4 linked regions of the Saccharomyces cerevisiae S288C genome follow. The protein of the gene in region 1 interacts with the protein of each later gene in a biochemical or structural test. Each region holds a gene or a part of one and is shown on either strand. Other genes may lie near its edges. The genes, in order: TIF5, GCD11, NIP1 and SUI2.

Evidence for each region.
Region 2: the proteins of TIF5 (region 1) and GCD11 form a complex in vitro, tested with the Saccharomyces cerevisiae proteins (2 studies listed by BioGRID).
Region 3: the proteins of TIF5 (region 1) and NIP1 form a complex in vitro, tested with the Saccharomyces cerevisiae proteins (6 studies listed by BioGRID).
Region 4: the proteins of TIF5 (region 1) and SUI2 form a complex in vitro, tested with the Saccharomyces cerevisiae proteins (3 studies listed by BioGRID).

Annotation. Positions count from the first base shown.
Region 1 is NC_001148.4:646,913-650,491, reverse strand, and holds TIF5 (translation initiation factor eIF5), read right to left. Parts: upstream 1,789-3,579; coding exon 571-1,788; downstream 1-570. Other genes in the region: PUF2 (Puf2p), read left to right, coding at 1-57; TIP41 (Tip41p), read right to left, coding at 2,117-3,187; IRC16 (Irc16p), read right to left, coding at 3,297-3,579; ERV2 (flavin-linked sulfhydryl oxidase), read left to right, coding at 3,454-3,579. UniProt on the Saccharomyces cerevisiae protein: Catalyzes the hydrolysis of GTP bound to the 40S ribosomal initiation complex (40S.mRNA.Met-tRNA[F].eIF-2.GTP) with the subsequent joining of a 60S ribosomal subunit resulting in the release of eIF-2 and the guanine nucleotide.
Region 2 is NC_001137.3:203,432-207,379, reverse strand, and holds GCD11 (translation initiation factor eIF2 subunit gamma), read right to left. Parts: upstream 2,130-3,948; coding exon 546-2,129; downstream 1-545. Other genes in the region: carnitine O-acetyltransferase YAT2, read right to left, coding at 2,417-3,948. UniProt on the Saccharomyces cerevisiae protein: As a subunit of eukaryotic initiation factor 2 eIF2, involved in the early steps of protein synthesis.
Region 3 is NC_001145.3:892,418-896,932, reverse strand, and holds NIP1 (translation initiation factor eIF3 core subunit c), read left to right. Parts: upstream 1-1,506; coding exon 1,507-3,945; downstream 3,946-4,515. Other genes in the region: PP1-complex regulatory subunit GLC8, read left to right, coding at 1-19; UPA2 (putative methyltransferase), read left to right, coding at 264-1,217. UniProt on the Saccharomyces cerevisiae protein: Component of the eukaryotic translation initiation factor 3 (eIF-3) complex, which is involved in protein synthesis of a specialized repertoire of mRNAs and, together with other initiation factors, stimulates binding of mRNA and methionyl-tRNAi to the 40S ribosome.
Region 4 is NC_001142.9:449,394-452,462, reverse strand, and holds SUI2 (translation initiation factor eIF2 subunit alpha), read right to left. Parts: upstream 1,444-3,069; coding exon 529-1,443; downstream 1-528. Other genes in the region: MHO1 (Mho1p), read right to left, coding at 1-33; DNA-directed DNA polymerase delta subunit POL31, read right to left, coding at 1,798-3,069. UniProt on the Saccharomyces cerevisiae protein: eIF-2 functions in the early steps of protein synthesis by forming a ternary complex with GTP and initiator tRNA. This complex binds to a 40S ribosomal subunit, followed by mRNA binding to form a 43S pre-initiation complex.

The sequences.
Region 1 (3,579 bases):
AATAATAATAATAATAATGATACAAGTTTGTACCGCTACAGGTCATACGGATATTAGCTAATGATTTTAATCATTCTGTTCTATTAAACTTTTTTTTTTTTCAATTTTGCCCTTGGTGCAATGTTTTTACGTTTACCCCAGAAGAATACCAAAAAGTTTAGACGCTCTTAGGTAAACATGACGATTAATGACCCTTTTTTTTTCCTCTATTGTACAAGTTTTCAACAGGCTTTAGGCTCTACTTCTATTAATGATTATAATATAATGCATTACCTTTCAGAAAAATCTTCGGTAATCTCATGTTATGTATACGCATGCGATCGTGGAGCCAAATTACACCGACATTTTATTTTTTTTTTTTTACTTAATAATTAATCAATCAATCAGTGGCTTTAAAAGTCTCATCTTTGTTTTTTGCCAGTACCAAGTATGTCGCACTTGGAAGAAATATTATATTTATAAATATTTACATATCTATACATCAACGAGCTCAAAAACAACAGAACATAATCCTTATCTTACGCCATGTCATATAATAATTTACACATAAGTCTTTTGCCCCCTCCTAAGCTATTCGTCGTCTTCTTCATCATCGTCACTTTCAGCGGTTTCTAACCACGTAATGAATGGCTTAGCAGCCCTACGAACCTTTTTGGATACCTCCTTAGGTACAAATTTCTTGGATGATTTGGTACCAAATCTCATGATTTCTTCTTCCGAGATGATATCATTATTGTATAGTTGTACCAAAATTTTTGGTAATAGTGGGATTAGATCCTTATGTTCTAAACCTAAAAATCTTTCAATACCACCCATAAAGTTCTTTTCGTATTCTGGAGTGACTAAAATTTTAGTGAAAAATGCATTATGTTCAGCGATTTCGTTTACGATATCCTCATCGAATAGACATTGCGCCAAGACACAACCAATTTTTGGATCATTCAAGACGTCTAGTTCTGCAGCCTTCTTATAAAGCTCCACATCTGATGGTAAGTTCTCCTTATCTTCACCAGCCTGCTCCAAAATCCATTCACCATATTCATCCAGTTGAGTGAGCTCAGAGTTCACTTCTAGTTCCTTGGCACGAGCTCTAATGGCTTCTTCAGACATATCAACCGCCCATTCGTCATCTTTGACCTCGATATCTTCTAAGGTAGAGGCAGCCGCCTTGATTTGACGAGATAATTCATCTTCGTCTTCGTCATGATGTTGTGGAGTGGATGAGCCGGTGCCATCTGAAGGTGCATTCTGAGACTTACCTTGAGCAATATCACTAATGGACAACCCACCACCACGAACATTGGCCGAAGCGGTAGCTGCTTTCTTCTTCTTCTTGGAACCAGAAACGGAGTCAGGTGGGTTTTTCAAAATGAAGGATGATAGTTTATGTCTCAAGTCCATTGGAGTTCTCTTACCACAGGCTTTACAGTCTCGAACCAAATCATTATCTTTGGTAATGATGATCTCCGTTTCTGGATTTTTACAGCTTCCACAGAGAACAAACTTGTTAATAAAGCCATCCAATACGTCTTGCAATTTGGCAGGTTCGTGAACACCATTAACTAAATAACGATCTTTGTCAACAGAGATGGAAGTTTGAGCACCTAATTCGAAACCAAAATACTTGACAATATATGGAGCAGGTCTATTTAGCGCGTGAGAGATGTCAGCGACGTTCAAAACGGCAGTCTTGATACCGTTACCTCTACCTTCCACCTTGGCTTGGATGGGAGGCATTTTGTAACGGTAAAATGGATCATGATTATCTCTACAAATATTAATAGACATCTTGTACCAGTGAACGTGTGTTTATGCAAATAATAGGAGTTTTTTTTTTTGGAAAAAAAAGAAGAACACACGAGATACTCTTTAATGTAGTGGTGTCTTTGTAAGTCAGCAAAGTGGGAAGGAGGGGTAGGCGTTTGCCACTAATTAAATGCTAAAAGTTCATCTATTTTCTTTTTTTTTTTTCGTTCATACTTCGCGATGAAAATTTTTCACTATTTACAGAACGGGTAAGAGCATGATTTTAAGATCATTTCTTGTATGATGTATCCGGAGCTTATGTATATGTGACGTGTATGTATTTGTACGTATTGTTTTGTATATTTGATTGTTAGAACTGAATTATTTCACATTGTCTTTTGATCATCGGCGTGTTCTGTGCTACCCAATTACTATCTCTCAAGGCAGCTTTTGGGTCGTGAGATTGGGATAGCCGGTGCTTAGCAAGTACATCCTGATATTTACCTTCAAATTCCTTGGATTCTCTGATCACTACGTTTTCGTCAAACTCCACGTAAATCCTGGTGTCGTAGACCCTCACCAGAACATCGTCCACCCTTAAAAAGAACCGGCTCAGCAGCAGTAACCTTTCGTTCATAACTCTTATTTTGACGTTAAGGATTGATATGCCATTGTCTGCCAATTCGTCTTCGAAAAGAATCATGTCGTCATAGAATAGGATTTTATCGTGTACGGCCAGTTTGTCAAGGGGCAGCTTTTGATCGTTATCCAGTCGGAATTTCGACTCAGGTGAGCTCTCTGTGCCCTTATACCGCGTAGTGTAGGTCCAGTCGTACTTGTGTATGATATTTAAGGAATCGTCGTTCACATCGTTAGTGAACCGTTGCGCACCATTAGTTGAATTTTGTCTTTTTTTAGAATTTATCCAGTCGTTTGAGTACGCAACACGAATACCTGAATCCTGGAGTTGAACCTCCTTTAAAGCATCCAGGGCATTGAACTCTATGGACCAATGCTGTTTTGAATTTTCGATCCTGATGTAGTTGTTACCAAAAATCATCTCTGGCAAAGTCAAACCTTTGAGTTTTTCGTTTTCCCAGATGTCTAATTCCTGCGAGTTCAAAATGGGCTTCTTTCTGGAGGAGATGGTCCAGTCGTTGATGGAGATGGAGGGGTTGTCCTCCAAGGGTAACGTGGCCCTTGGAGATGGAATGATAACAGACCCACAGTGGAGACACTGCGGATTGTTTGGGTTATTGCAAATATGTCGAGGTGGTGTTGCTGGGGCTGCAGTTGGTTGCACAGAGGGTGTAGTGATGCCGCTAGTTGGCATGGGCATTCTTCGAGCGCGCACCGTTTGAGCGTGCATTTCTCTAGCAGCATTTATTTGAATAGTGTTTATCCCTGATGATCTGAGCGGTGGAGTGTTTCTTTTGGACATTTTTTCTGGGGAGCTGTTGTGTCTAAAGCTGCCCTTAGGTCATGTATATGGGGTGCGTAAGTATGGTGATGCATTTTGTTATTATATATTACAAGATGGAAGAGAAAGGTTAACCACCGGGTAAACGAAGCGGGAAAAGGAACCAAAAATAAAGGACAAAAGGCTTTATCATTAAACAATAAACGTGGGTGATGAAGACAAGAAGACGGGAAGGCTGGTGATTTGTAAAGAGGAAAGTCTGGACAGATTGTGCAAGGAACGAAGGGATGAAACAGATAGTCAAAAGAAGCCATGCCATCAGAATAGTTGCAGCATTAGGAATCATAGGCCTGTGGATGTTTTTCTCGTCTAATGAACTATCCATCGCTACGCCGGGCCTAATCAAGGCGAAG
Region 2 (3,948 bases), on another chromosome or scaffold:
ACTAACCACTATACTAAGATGGCGAACTTATATAAAATAAAACCTTTTCAAGGTTATATATACTCAATAGATACTGAATAATTTTGGAGCTTCATTATCTTTGTGCAATTGTCTCCATGTACAAACCACCGATAAGATTTAGTGTAGAGTATGTTGGGTGTAAAAAAAGAAAGGCAGTTTATTGACTACTGGTGTAACTAGACGATAAAGGTTTGAGAGGTTTTCATGGCATCAATGGGAAATAAATGAGTTCGAGAACTATGAGATAAATATTTGCTTAATATTATCGCGTTTAGTAATTTTTTCTTAAAAATACGTAAAACATGTTAAATATACAGTTGAATACTATGTAAGAAGGAAAAAAAAAGAAAGAAAACGTTATAAAAAGAGAATAAAGATCATCAATGTCATTACGCATCAATGTATATGAGCATATTGCAATAACCAGAAGTGTCAGTTTCCCTTCCTCCTAGCCCGTTTCTTATCTTCACTTTCTTTCAGATTAATTATGAAATTTTTGTCTTTGCAGTGGTTTTATTGGTTCCTTAAGCGATGGGTTCCAATGTAGTACCCTTTTTAATGGTTGCCCAACCAATCAAACGCCAATGCTTTTCGATACGTCTCGACAAAGCAATCTTCTCGTTAATTTCAGTACAAGCGGGCGACGTTAACTGTAATCTTGCCATATCAGCTTTAACGGCAACCACACGAGCCCCCGTAGCGGTAGAACCAATGTTGACCATAAGAACTTCATTTGGCTCTAATTTTCTGACTTTGGCTTGCTTTTGACCATCTGTTTTGACACCTAATAGACGACGTAGCAAAAAGTAGTTGATTTCGATATCAGTATAAATGTTTGGCAAATGACCCTTAGCACCGACGACTTGACCGACAAGACGATCAGCTCTACACAAGGTAGGATCAACTTTAGTACCAACACCAATCAGACCACCGGGAACAGCAAACTTCAAGTCATTTTGTTCGGCAAATAAGGAGACAATGTTAGAAAAGATTGGTTTACATTGAATTTTACCCTTATCATCCTTGGTGACAATACCTGGTCTAATCTCAATTTCATCACCTAATTTGAAAACACCATTCAAAATAGAACCACCGGCAACACCACCTTTCAGGTCCTCGATTTCAGCACCTGGCTTATTAACATCAAATGAACGAATAACAATTAACCTTGGAGAAATCATAAAATCTCTTGGTGGTACGGGAATAGTCTTGACAATAAATTCATTAACTGCGTCGATGTTATACTTCAACTGAGCGGATATTGGTACAATAGGAGCACCGTCAGCAATGGTACCTCTGATGAACTTCAAGATGGATTTTTGGTGTTCTAAGGCACTTTCTTCACGCATTAAATCGACCTTATTCTGTAAGATGATGACGTGCTTTAATTTCATGATTTCAATGGCAGCTAAATGCTCTGAGGTTTGAGGTTGTGGACAAGATTCATTACCTGCAATCAACAGTAACGCAGCATCCATAACAGCAGCACCTGATAACATAGTACTCATTAAGATATCGTGACCGGGACAGTCAACAAAAGAAACGTGACGGACCAATTTGTAACGCCCCGGACAACCTGGTCTTTGACATTTAGGACTGATTTCTTTATCAGATTTGAATGATCTATAACAATCAGGTTCGGGACATGTAGGCTCTTGACATTTATAAATTTTAGCATTAGCGTAACCTAACTTAATAGTAATGTTACGTTCTAATTCATCCTTAAAACGGACTGTTTGGACACCTGAAATAGCCCTAACTACTGTGGATTTACCGTGGGCGACATGACCGATGGTACCGATGTTTATTGTAGCTTGCCTGTTGATAATTTCGGCGGATAGTGGGTTTAATTTTGAAAAATCAGGGTTTAATGGTTGTTCGGGCAAACCACCACCTTCTTCAAATTCCCTTTTCCTTTTTTCTTCTTCAGTTTCCCCGTCTTCTTCCAAGCCAGTGAAGGCGACTTTCTTCTTTGGCTTATCAGCATCTTGTGTTTCTTGTGTTTCTTGAGCTACAACTTCCGTTTCTTCAACGATATCTGGTTCACCAACTGGTTCCAAATTACCGTTGATAATAATGCTAGGTTCTTGGTCTTGTAAGTCACTCATGTCTACCTCTAATGCGCGATGTTAACGGTGTATTACGCTCTTTCCGCCCTCTTTGCTTAGCTCCTGGTACAGGTCGAGATGAAATCTCTGTCTTTTGTACTGATGATCAGCATCGGGCTATTCTATGAAAATTTTTTCAATGGCAAATCTGGTCCGGGTTACTGACATGAGAGCAAATAATAAGCATAAATTAAAGCATATTGATATACTTCATATAACAAGTATATATCACATCACGCCAAGCTTACGCATAATGCTAGTAATAAATAGATAAACAAAGAGCGTTCTTATTGATCTAAGGTCGCCACCTTTCTACCCACACGACTGCGGTCAAAATCAATATCGAATCTTGAGTTGATGACGTTACGTTTCTTGGAATTTAGAGATGTAGCTGAAGATGCCGAAGAGGATGTGCCATCAGCATTGCCAGCAACTATTTCAATATCTGTCTCATCATCTGCTTCCAACCCATTACTTGCCACTTCCCGCGGTTGGATCTGTAAAATTTCATGGCCTGTATTTAATTTTTCCTTTTCTGTGGGAACGGAAACTGCGGAACTTGAATGATCATTGTCTGCGCTCATGGTCAAGCCATTGAAGGTTTTCTGCAAATTCTTCATCGATGGTGTTTTAGATATATTCCTACTGTCAATGTGGCCTTCCAAATCGAAAAACCCGCCATACCTGTTCAAATTTACCTGTGATGAAGAAGATGTTTTGCGGGAGCCATTGACTGTATGGCCGTTACGTTTCGGAGGATTATTGACTGCATTGTCCATTTCATACAATTTATCGACCACTGGACTGATCTTCACGCCAGTTTTATTATGAGAAGTGCCGCGTGACATCCTCCAGTAGGAACGAATTTCGCCTAACACCCAACTTAACATAAACATTAACCTGTCACCCTGTCGAAATTGCGATGTCACGGTCAAATCTACTTGATCATCTTTAATGATGTACCCTATTCCAAAGCCATGAGGTACAGCAGGAGTTATACCAAATGTCGTGGTAGCAGCATTACCACAGTTGGCAACAATCAACTCAGGCTGTGAGAAAGGTAAAACAAGTGGATTTTCGAAAAGATCTTTCGCAGCAGATGATTCATCACCACTTAAGTGGATACCAAAATGGTCATGAAATTTGAAGAGATATTTCAATGCATTGAAGTGTTTTTCATAACCTACCCCAGACTTTGCATGTTTAACCATGTTATTATGTGTTTCGCAGGTTTGGATAAATTTGTCTAATTTATCTGTCCCATCAATGGAGCTAGAAATAAACAATTGACATAGTTCCAACAGCGCTTGACTTTGAATGTTAATAAAAGATGATCTCGAGTTTTTGAAACCACGTGTGGATACTGGTTCTAATCCAAACACCATTCTTCCATACAAAGCATAGTGAGCTATTTGTAAAGCTACTTGAACCATCGAATCGGGCTTGACTCCTAATCTTTGAGCTGACCTTCTGCCCAATGGAATAGAAGCGCGAACAATATCATACTTGGAAATCAGATCAGCTAGTTTGGTTTCTGACAAATGGACATGTGTGTTCAGGATGTTACTGAAAGACCAATCGATTTTATTTACAACCAACTTAGGGTCAATTTCAGAAGGGCCTCCGCCGTCGGCACTTATGGTCGCCGTCATCAGTTTTTTAGTTTCAGGATCCATTTGTGTCACGTTAGGCCAGAGTGAAAACTGTGGGTCACCGGCGTTAACGTCTCTAGCTAATCTCAAGACTGATTCTGTATAAATTTCAGAAGTAAACCGAAGCACGACTGACCCGTCACATGTGAAGGAATCCCAAATCACTG
Region 3 (4,515 bases), on another chromosome or scaffold:
TACGACAAAAGAACCATGAAACATGACACCTCCATAACGTTTACCTATACTAAATATATCTTATTTTTTGGATTCTTGGTACATAAATATGCACTGTTTGTTATCACGCGAAACGAACTGATTTTTTAACAAGCTTTATTTTATACATGAAAAATTTCCCATCGATGAGCTGTGATCGGCAAGTGAGAGTACTCTGTTTCACAACTACTACCGGTCCCAGGAATATATACTACTGACCACAAAGCTGTGTATCACTTAGTTTGATGAGCAGCACGAGGAAGTTCAAAAAGGTTGAGAAACCTCTATCACAAACCAGACATTATTCACTCTGTATCCCCACGACATTGGTATCGGACTGTCGCAACCTCTCTCAAATCACGCATAAGGTGTACCAAGTGGCCAAGTTTGCATCGCTGTTTAATGTTTCTGAGGTTGTCATTCTTGAGGACAATTCCCAGGTCGATGCCACCAAAAAAAAAATCTCCACTGCTAAATTAATACTGGCACTTTTACAATACTTCGTCACGCCTCCATATCTTCGCAATACTGTCTTCAACGAAAAATTCAGACCTTATTTGACCGCCGCTTCAAAATTACCAAGATTATCCACACTTCCTTTCACCAGGTACCAAAAGCAAGATCACGGTCGGTACAGAGAAGGCCTCACTATCAAGATGCAGAAACCCACCTTGGCTCGCAAAAAGATTGGTAAGGTATTCAAGCAAACCAAATATATTAATATAGGGAAAAGCAAAGCACTGGCTCTACAAAGTCAGCTGGTGCCGATAAACGCAAGGGTCACCATCGACACAATAACGAGGAAAATTGTATCTCCTCAGGAAGCTTACGGTGATTTCACCGGATTGGACTCGCAGTATGGCTACTATACTCGTATAGCGTCATCGTTCACAGACTTGTTTATGAAGGGGCCTTTAAAAGAGGGTTATACACAATCAGTATATGTTCCCTTAACCACGAGAGACACCTCTATTCCCGAGTTATCATCACTGCCTACCGCCGAAACTAATCCCCACATCTTATTGGTATTCTCAACGTGGGACACTCTTGCTCGAGCATTCAAACTGGATCAAGATCAATTCGTAGATTGTCAAGGTCCTCAAGAGTTCTTTGATGCTCAGCTACCATGCCCCGTATCCAATTCGGACGTTGCAGATGCAATCCCCATGACACTGACAACTCTTTCAACTGTATTTTAATCCCAAATTACCTTCATGCAATGGATAAGTACGTATATATTAGAGACGCAATCATTATTATTACTGTCACTTTCCTCTACTCGTTGGAAACGACCAAGCTTTTTTTTTCGCATTTTTTTCGCCGTTGAAAAATTTTTCAATGAGAAAAAGAGCTTTGAAAGGAATGAAAAATTAGCTACAGGTTCGCAGTTGCACTTGTTAGTAGAGTAGCATAGAAGGAAAAAAAGGAGAACAAGGCACATATTTGCAATCTTCACACAATAGCCTGCCAAGCCCGAGATCTACGAAAATGTCCCGTTTCTTTTCGTCTAATTACGAATACGATGTAGCCAGTTCTTCATCCGAAGAAGATCTTTTATCTTCGTCTGAAGAAGATTTGTTAAGCTCTTCCTCCTCTGAGTCTGAATTGGACCAAGAATCTGACGACTCCTTTTTCAATGAAAGTGAAAGTGAAAGTGAAGCTGATGTAGACTCTGATGATTCTGATGCAAAGCCTTATGGTCCTGACTGGTTCAAGAAATCTGAGTTCAGAAAACAAGGTGGAGGTTCAAATAAATTTTTGAAAAGCTCTAACTATGATTCCAGTGATGAAGAATCCGATGAAGAAGATGGCAAGAAGGTAGTCAAGTCTGCCAAAGAAAAACTATTGGATGAAATGCAAGACGTTTATAATAAGATCTCTCAAGCTGAGAACTCTGATGACTGGTTGACTATTTCTAATGAGTTTGATTTGATCTCGCGTCTCTTAGTTAGGGCTCAACAACAAAACTGGGGGACTCCAAATATTTTCATCAAGGTTGTTGCCCAAGTGGAGGACGCTGTGAATAATACACAACAAGCTGATTTGAAGAATAAAGCTGTTGCAAGAGCTTATAACACTACAAAGCAAAGAGTCAAGAAAGTTTCTAGAGAAAATGAAGACTCAATGGCTAAATTCAGAAATGATCCTGAATCATTTGATAAGGAACCAACCGCAGATTTGGATATTTCTGCTAATGGATTCACAATTTCTTCGTCTCAAGGCAATGACCAAGCGGTACAAGAAGATTTCTTCACTAGATTACAAACAATAATTGACTCAAGAGGTAAGAAGACTGTCAATCAACAATCCTTGATTTCTACTTTGGAGGAGTTATTAACTGTAGCTGAAAAACCATATGAATTCATAATGGCTTATTTGACTTTGATTCCATCAAGATTCGATGCCTCAGCTAACCTATCTTACCAACCAATTGATCAATGGAAATCTTCATTCAACGATATTAGTAAATTATTGTCTATTTTAGACCAGACAATTGACACCTACCAAGTTAATGAATTTGCTGATCCAATCGATTTCATTGAAGATGAACCTAAAGAAGATTCTGATGGTGTCAAGAGGATTCTGGGTTCCATTTTCTCATTTGTTGAAAGATTAGATGACGAATTCATGAAATCCCTGTTAAACATCGATCCTCATTCCAGTGATTATTTGATCCGTTTAAGGGATGAACAATCAATCTATAATTTGATCCTAAGAACTCAATTGTACTTTGAAGCGACTTTGAAAGATGAACACGACCTAGAAAGAGCATTGACACGTCCATTCGTCAAGAGATTGGATCATATCTACTATAAATCCGAAAATTTGATAAAAATTATGGAAACTGCTGCTTGGAATATCATACCTGCTCAATTCAAATCTAAATTTACTTCAAAAGACCAGCTCGATTCTGCTGATTATGTCGACAATTTAATAGACGGATTATCGACAATCTTATCCAAGCAAAACAACATTGCTGTTCAAAAACGTGCTATTTTATACAACATTTACTACACTGCATTAAACAAAGATTTCCAAACTGCTAAAGATATGTTACTAACTTCCCAAGTTCAAACAAATATCAACCAATTCGATTCATCCCTACAAATTTTATTCAACAGGGTTGTTGTTCAATTGGGTCTATCCGCCTTTAAATTATGTTTGATTGAAGAATGTCATCAAATTTTGAATGATCTTCTGTCAAGTTCTCACTTAAGAGAAATTTTGGGCCAACAATCCCTACACAGAATATCTCTCAATTCTAGTAACAATGCTTCAGCTGATGAGCGTGCTAGACAATGTTTGCCATATCACCAACACATCAATCTCGATTTAATCGATGTCGTCTTCTTAACATGTTCCTTATTGATCGAAATTCCAAGAATGACTGCCTTCTATTCCGGTATTAAGGTCAAGAGAATTCCTTACTCTCCAAAATCCATTCGTCGTTCCTTAGAACATTACGACAAGTTAAGTTTCCAAGGTCCACCAGAAACTTTAAGAGATTATGTCTTGTTTGCTGCCAAATCAATGCAAAAAGGTAACTGGAGAGACTCTGTTAAATACTTAAGAGAAATAAAATCTTGGGCTTTATTACCAAACATGGAAACGGTGTTGAATAGTTTAACGGAAAGAGTACAAGTTGAATCTTTGAAGACTTATTTCTTTTCTTTCAAGAGGTTCTATTCAAGTTTTTCTGTTGCTAAACTAGCCGAATTATTTGATCTTCCAGAAAATAAGGTGGTTGAAGTTTTGCAATCTGTTATCGCAGAATTGGAAATCCCAGCCAAATTAAACGACGAGAAGACCATCTTTGTTGTCGAAAAGGGTGATGAAATTACTAAATTGGAAGAAGCAATGGTAAAATTGAACAAAGAATATAAAATCGCTAAAGAACGTCTTAACCCACCATCAAATCGTCGTTGATCAATAAAATCAAAAACTACTTCGAAAGCATTCTTAACAAAAAATCATTGTAGATAGAAGAATAACATCAGCAACCAAAAAATATAGAAGGAAACTAAGCAGGAGAGTATAAACCATATTCACTTTTGCTTTTTATTCTTGATATTGCTCATCTTTTTTTTTTTCGATTCTTTTAGCGATCTCTTTATTTTTAGTTTTAGGGTTTGAATCTAATCGTCTTCACTGTACATTACACATAAGCAAATATATATATAGTTTTTTTTGTTACGTAAACACTCTTTATAATATAATACAAACTATTAAACTTTAAGAAAAGTATGATATGCCGCTTTATTTCTTCATCAAATATAATCTCAAAATATATGGATCATGAGTGTTGATAAATAATCCAATAGCCTATCATGGACTATCTGTTTGACATTCTAAAAAAAAAAATAAATTGTACGAACTGCAGTAAATCGGTATTATCATCATGACGCACGATATCAATTCTTTGCAGAAACTGAAAAATTTTTCATTTTCTACCCAGGAAAAAAAGAAAAATGAAATTCACTAAAAAAATGGGAATAC
Region 4 (3,069 bases), on another chromosome or scaffold:
TGAGCCTGCATGTGTTGCTGGACGTATTGACATGTTTGAAAAATTCTATTCTTTGCACTGTAGTCCACCTAAGCCACCGACTAGGACCACTTCACTTAAGTATCAGTCAGACTTTCCTTTGAAAATATATCAGTGTGTATCCGCATGTTATCTGTTTTGTTGAAAATCACATGAGTGGACGGCCCCTTTGTCTTGTCTTAGTGTTCCCCAATGATTTAAATGCAATTCCGAAGGAAAGGGGGGAGCCTCATATTATTACAGCATCACTACCTTTTGAGGTAAAAATATCTCATGTGAAAAAGATAAATTATAGAGAACCGGCAGGGCATGCTCCACTGACAACCCCGTGGTAACAGAAATTAAATTTTGATTATGATTAAATGGATTGTAATATTTATAATAGCCAAATGTACAAGGTGTATATTGCAAAGAATATGATATGGCAGGATATACGTATTTGTTCTATACAAAATTTTCTAAAACAGTATGACACTTGAAAACACCTAGAAAAATTAGGCGCGGCAATGATTACTCGTCGTCTGACTCATCCTCATCGTCTTCAGAGTCAGATCTATTATCTAATTCTTTGCTTTCTAATAGAGCTTGTAACTCAGCGTCTTCAGTAGCAGTGACAGCCTTTGGTGGCATGGTAATGTTGCAAACACCGCCGTATTTTGTAATAACCTCTGTAATTTTTTCAATAGCGCTTTCCAGTTGTTCAATACCTTTTTGCTTATCCAAGGCTTGGGTGGTCAAAACATATAATGGGGCGGCGACTAATTTAACTTTAACTTGCATTTGTTCTGTGGACATGTCTTCAGCTGATTTTAATGCGTCTTTAATGGCATCGATACCTTCGTAACTAAAACAAGACACTTCAACATCGGCTCTAATCTTTACAGCTTGTGGTGTTAATCTCTTGGAGATATAGTTCTTTAATTCATCTAAAACATCTTTTGATGGCGGTTCAATACCTTCCCAAACAGTTTCGTCAATGATGGATAGTTTGAAAGCTTCGTAAGCGTGACCAAATTTTCGACTTAATGGCCAAGCAATGGTCTTATATAGTTCTTCCAAAGGGATTTGGAATTTTTCGGCACAGTATCTTAAAATGGAATGAACAGTCTTAGATTTTTGGTATTTTTCTTCACATTTAATGATATCTTCAGAAGAAACACGACGTTTGGACAAATCAATATAACCTTTTTCTTTGTCGACACGAAGAACAACGGCGACATCATTTTTACCAACACGAATTAATTTTTGGATTGACCTAATACGTCTACGGGACAATTCACTTAGTAGAATCATACCTTCAATGTTGTCATATTCTAACAATTTAACATAAGCACCCATTTCAGCAATCTGCTGGACGTTAACCATGACGATATCGTCAATTTCTGGGTATTTGTTTTCATAAAATCTGCAATGAGAAGTGGACATTATTTGGTGTATTATAGAAGGTGCGTGAGGCAGCAGAAAAGACACAAAAATATGAAGACAAAAACTGATTAGTAAACAGATTGCACTTTACTCTTTAATGACCTAGGAAATAAACAATGGTTGAAAATTTGTAAATGCGATTTTATACTACTATTTCATCAGATTTGTGCTTTCTCTTCTTCTCTTTTTCGCCTCTTCGAAGAAAAAATTTTTCTCCGACTGCGGGTAAGAAAAAACGCTCATAGTTTTTCTACCAGCTGTGACAAGAAACGTATTTTGAGCTGAACGATGAATGCTCACTTTTACATATAAAACTTAATTGCATATCTATGTGGAAATTATTCCTTGTTTTATTTAAATGTCAATCTTGACCGTCTCTGCTTCTAACGTTTCCAAATCCAGTAATATTATCATCCCAGTAGAACTGAATTCAGGGACAGATATTATCTTTATGTTCTTACCACCTATTTCCACTACTCTTGTTCCAAAATATGGCTGGTTTGCCACAATGTAAACGTGGGGCCACTTATCCAATACAAATGGATCCTTATCAGTGTACGGATAACACCATAAGGTATCAGGTGCGGTGGGCGCGATGTTTTGCCATTTCATTGTACATTCCATAAGGTCCAGGCGATGCTCTATATCGTCTTTGAAATCATTACTCTCGCCCTCCTCGACCTTGTTTTCACTTTCTCCGTTATCATTTGATGGTATTACGTATTTACAAATATCATTGATATTTTTGCCTGAAACGGCTAGAACGTCTACGCCATTATAGCTAAACTCATATGGGTTGGTCACTAAATTCAAAATTTCTTTGTTAGAACCGTTGAAGTATGATTCTAGGGACTTATCAAACAATGATTTGTGGAAAGGCTGTTGCGGTAGAGATTTGTCACTTGGATCATTGGTTCCGGGCATAATATCAACAGATATAGATGGCAAAATGTTGTGTAGAAATTTACTGAACTCAGTTAGAGAAATCATCAATTCGTCTTTGTTCACGCTTTTAATGTCGAAGTCAACAGAGTTGCCGCATATCAGTAATCTACCAATTAGAGAAATGTCGTCAATTTTGTTATTGATTCTCCCCATCAAAAATTCTCTCAAAATCTCCAATCTCAATAGCCTATCAGGTGATGTATTATTGAGGTTTAACCCAGAAACAAGAGCAATTTTTCCCCTGGTGGGGCAGGTAGCAATTGGTGCAGGGAAAGGATTTTGTGGTAAAGGAGTGGGGTAGCATATGTCTAAAACTTGAAATGTCCCGGCTTCAGCTTCCATACCCAGTATACCTACAACAACACCCGTGATGAAGGGTGTAGACCGAATAAAATCTCCCACTAGAAGCACTCTCCCACTTTCATCTTCGAGCATAATTTCATCAGAACCACCCTCTTTATCAGTATAACTTTTAGTTAAATCTGGTGCACCATATGTATCATTGATCACTTCGTCCAGTACGTTTGGTTTATATTTCATCTCGCAATATATGGATCCTACGCACCAACATGGTTGGTTTCCCTGAATATCTAACACTTTGTCCTTTTTTAGAACTAATTGGCCATTCAAGGTAAAGCCCGCATCCCATCTCTTGTCACATTCTTTTAAGACGCGTTCTCT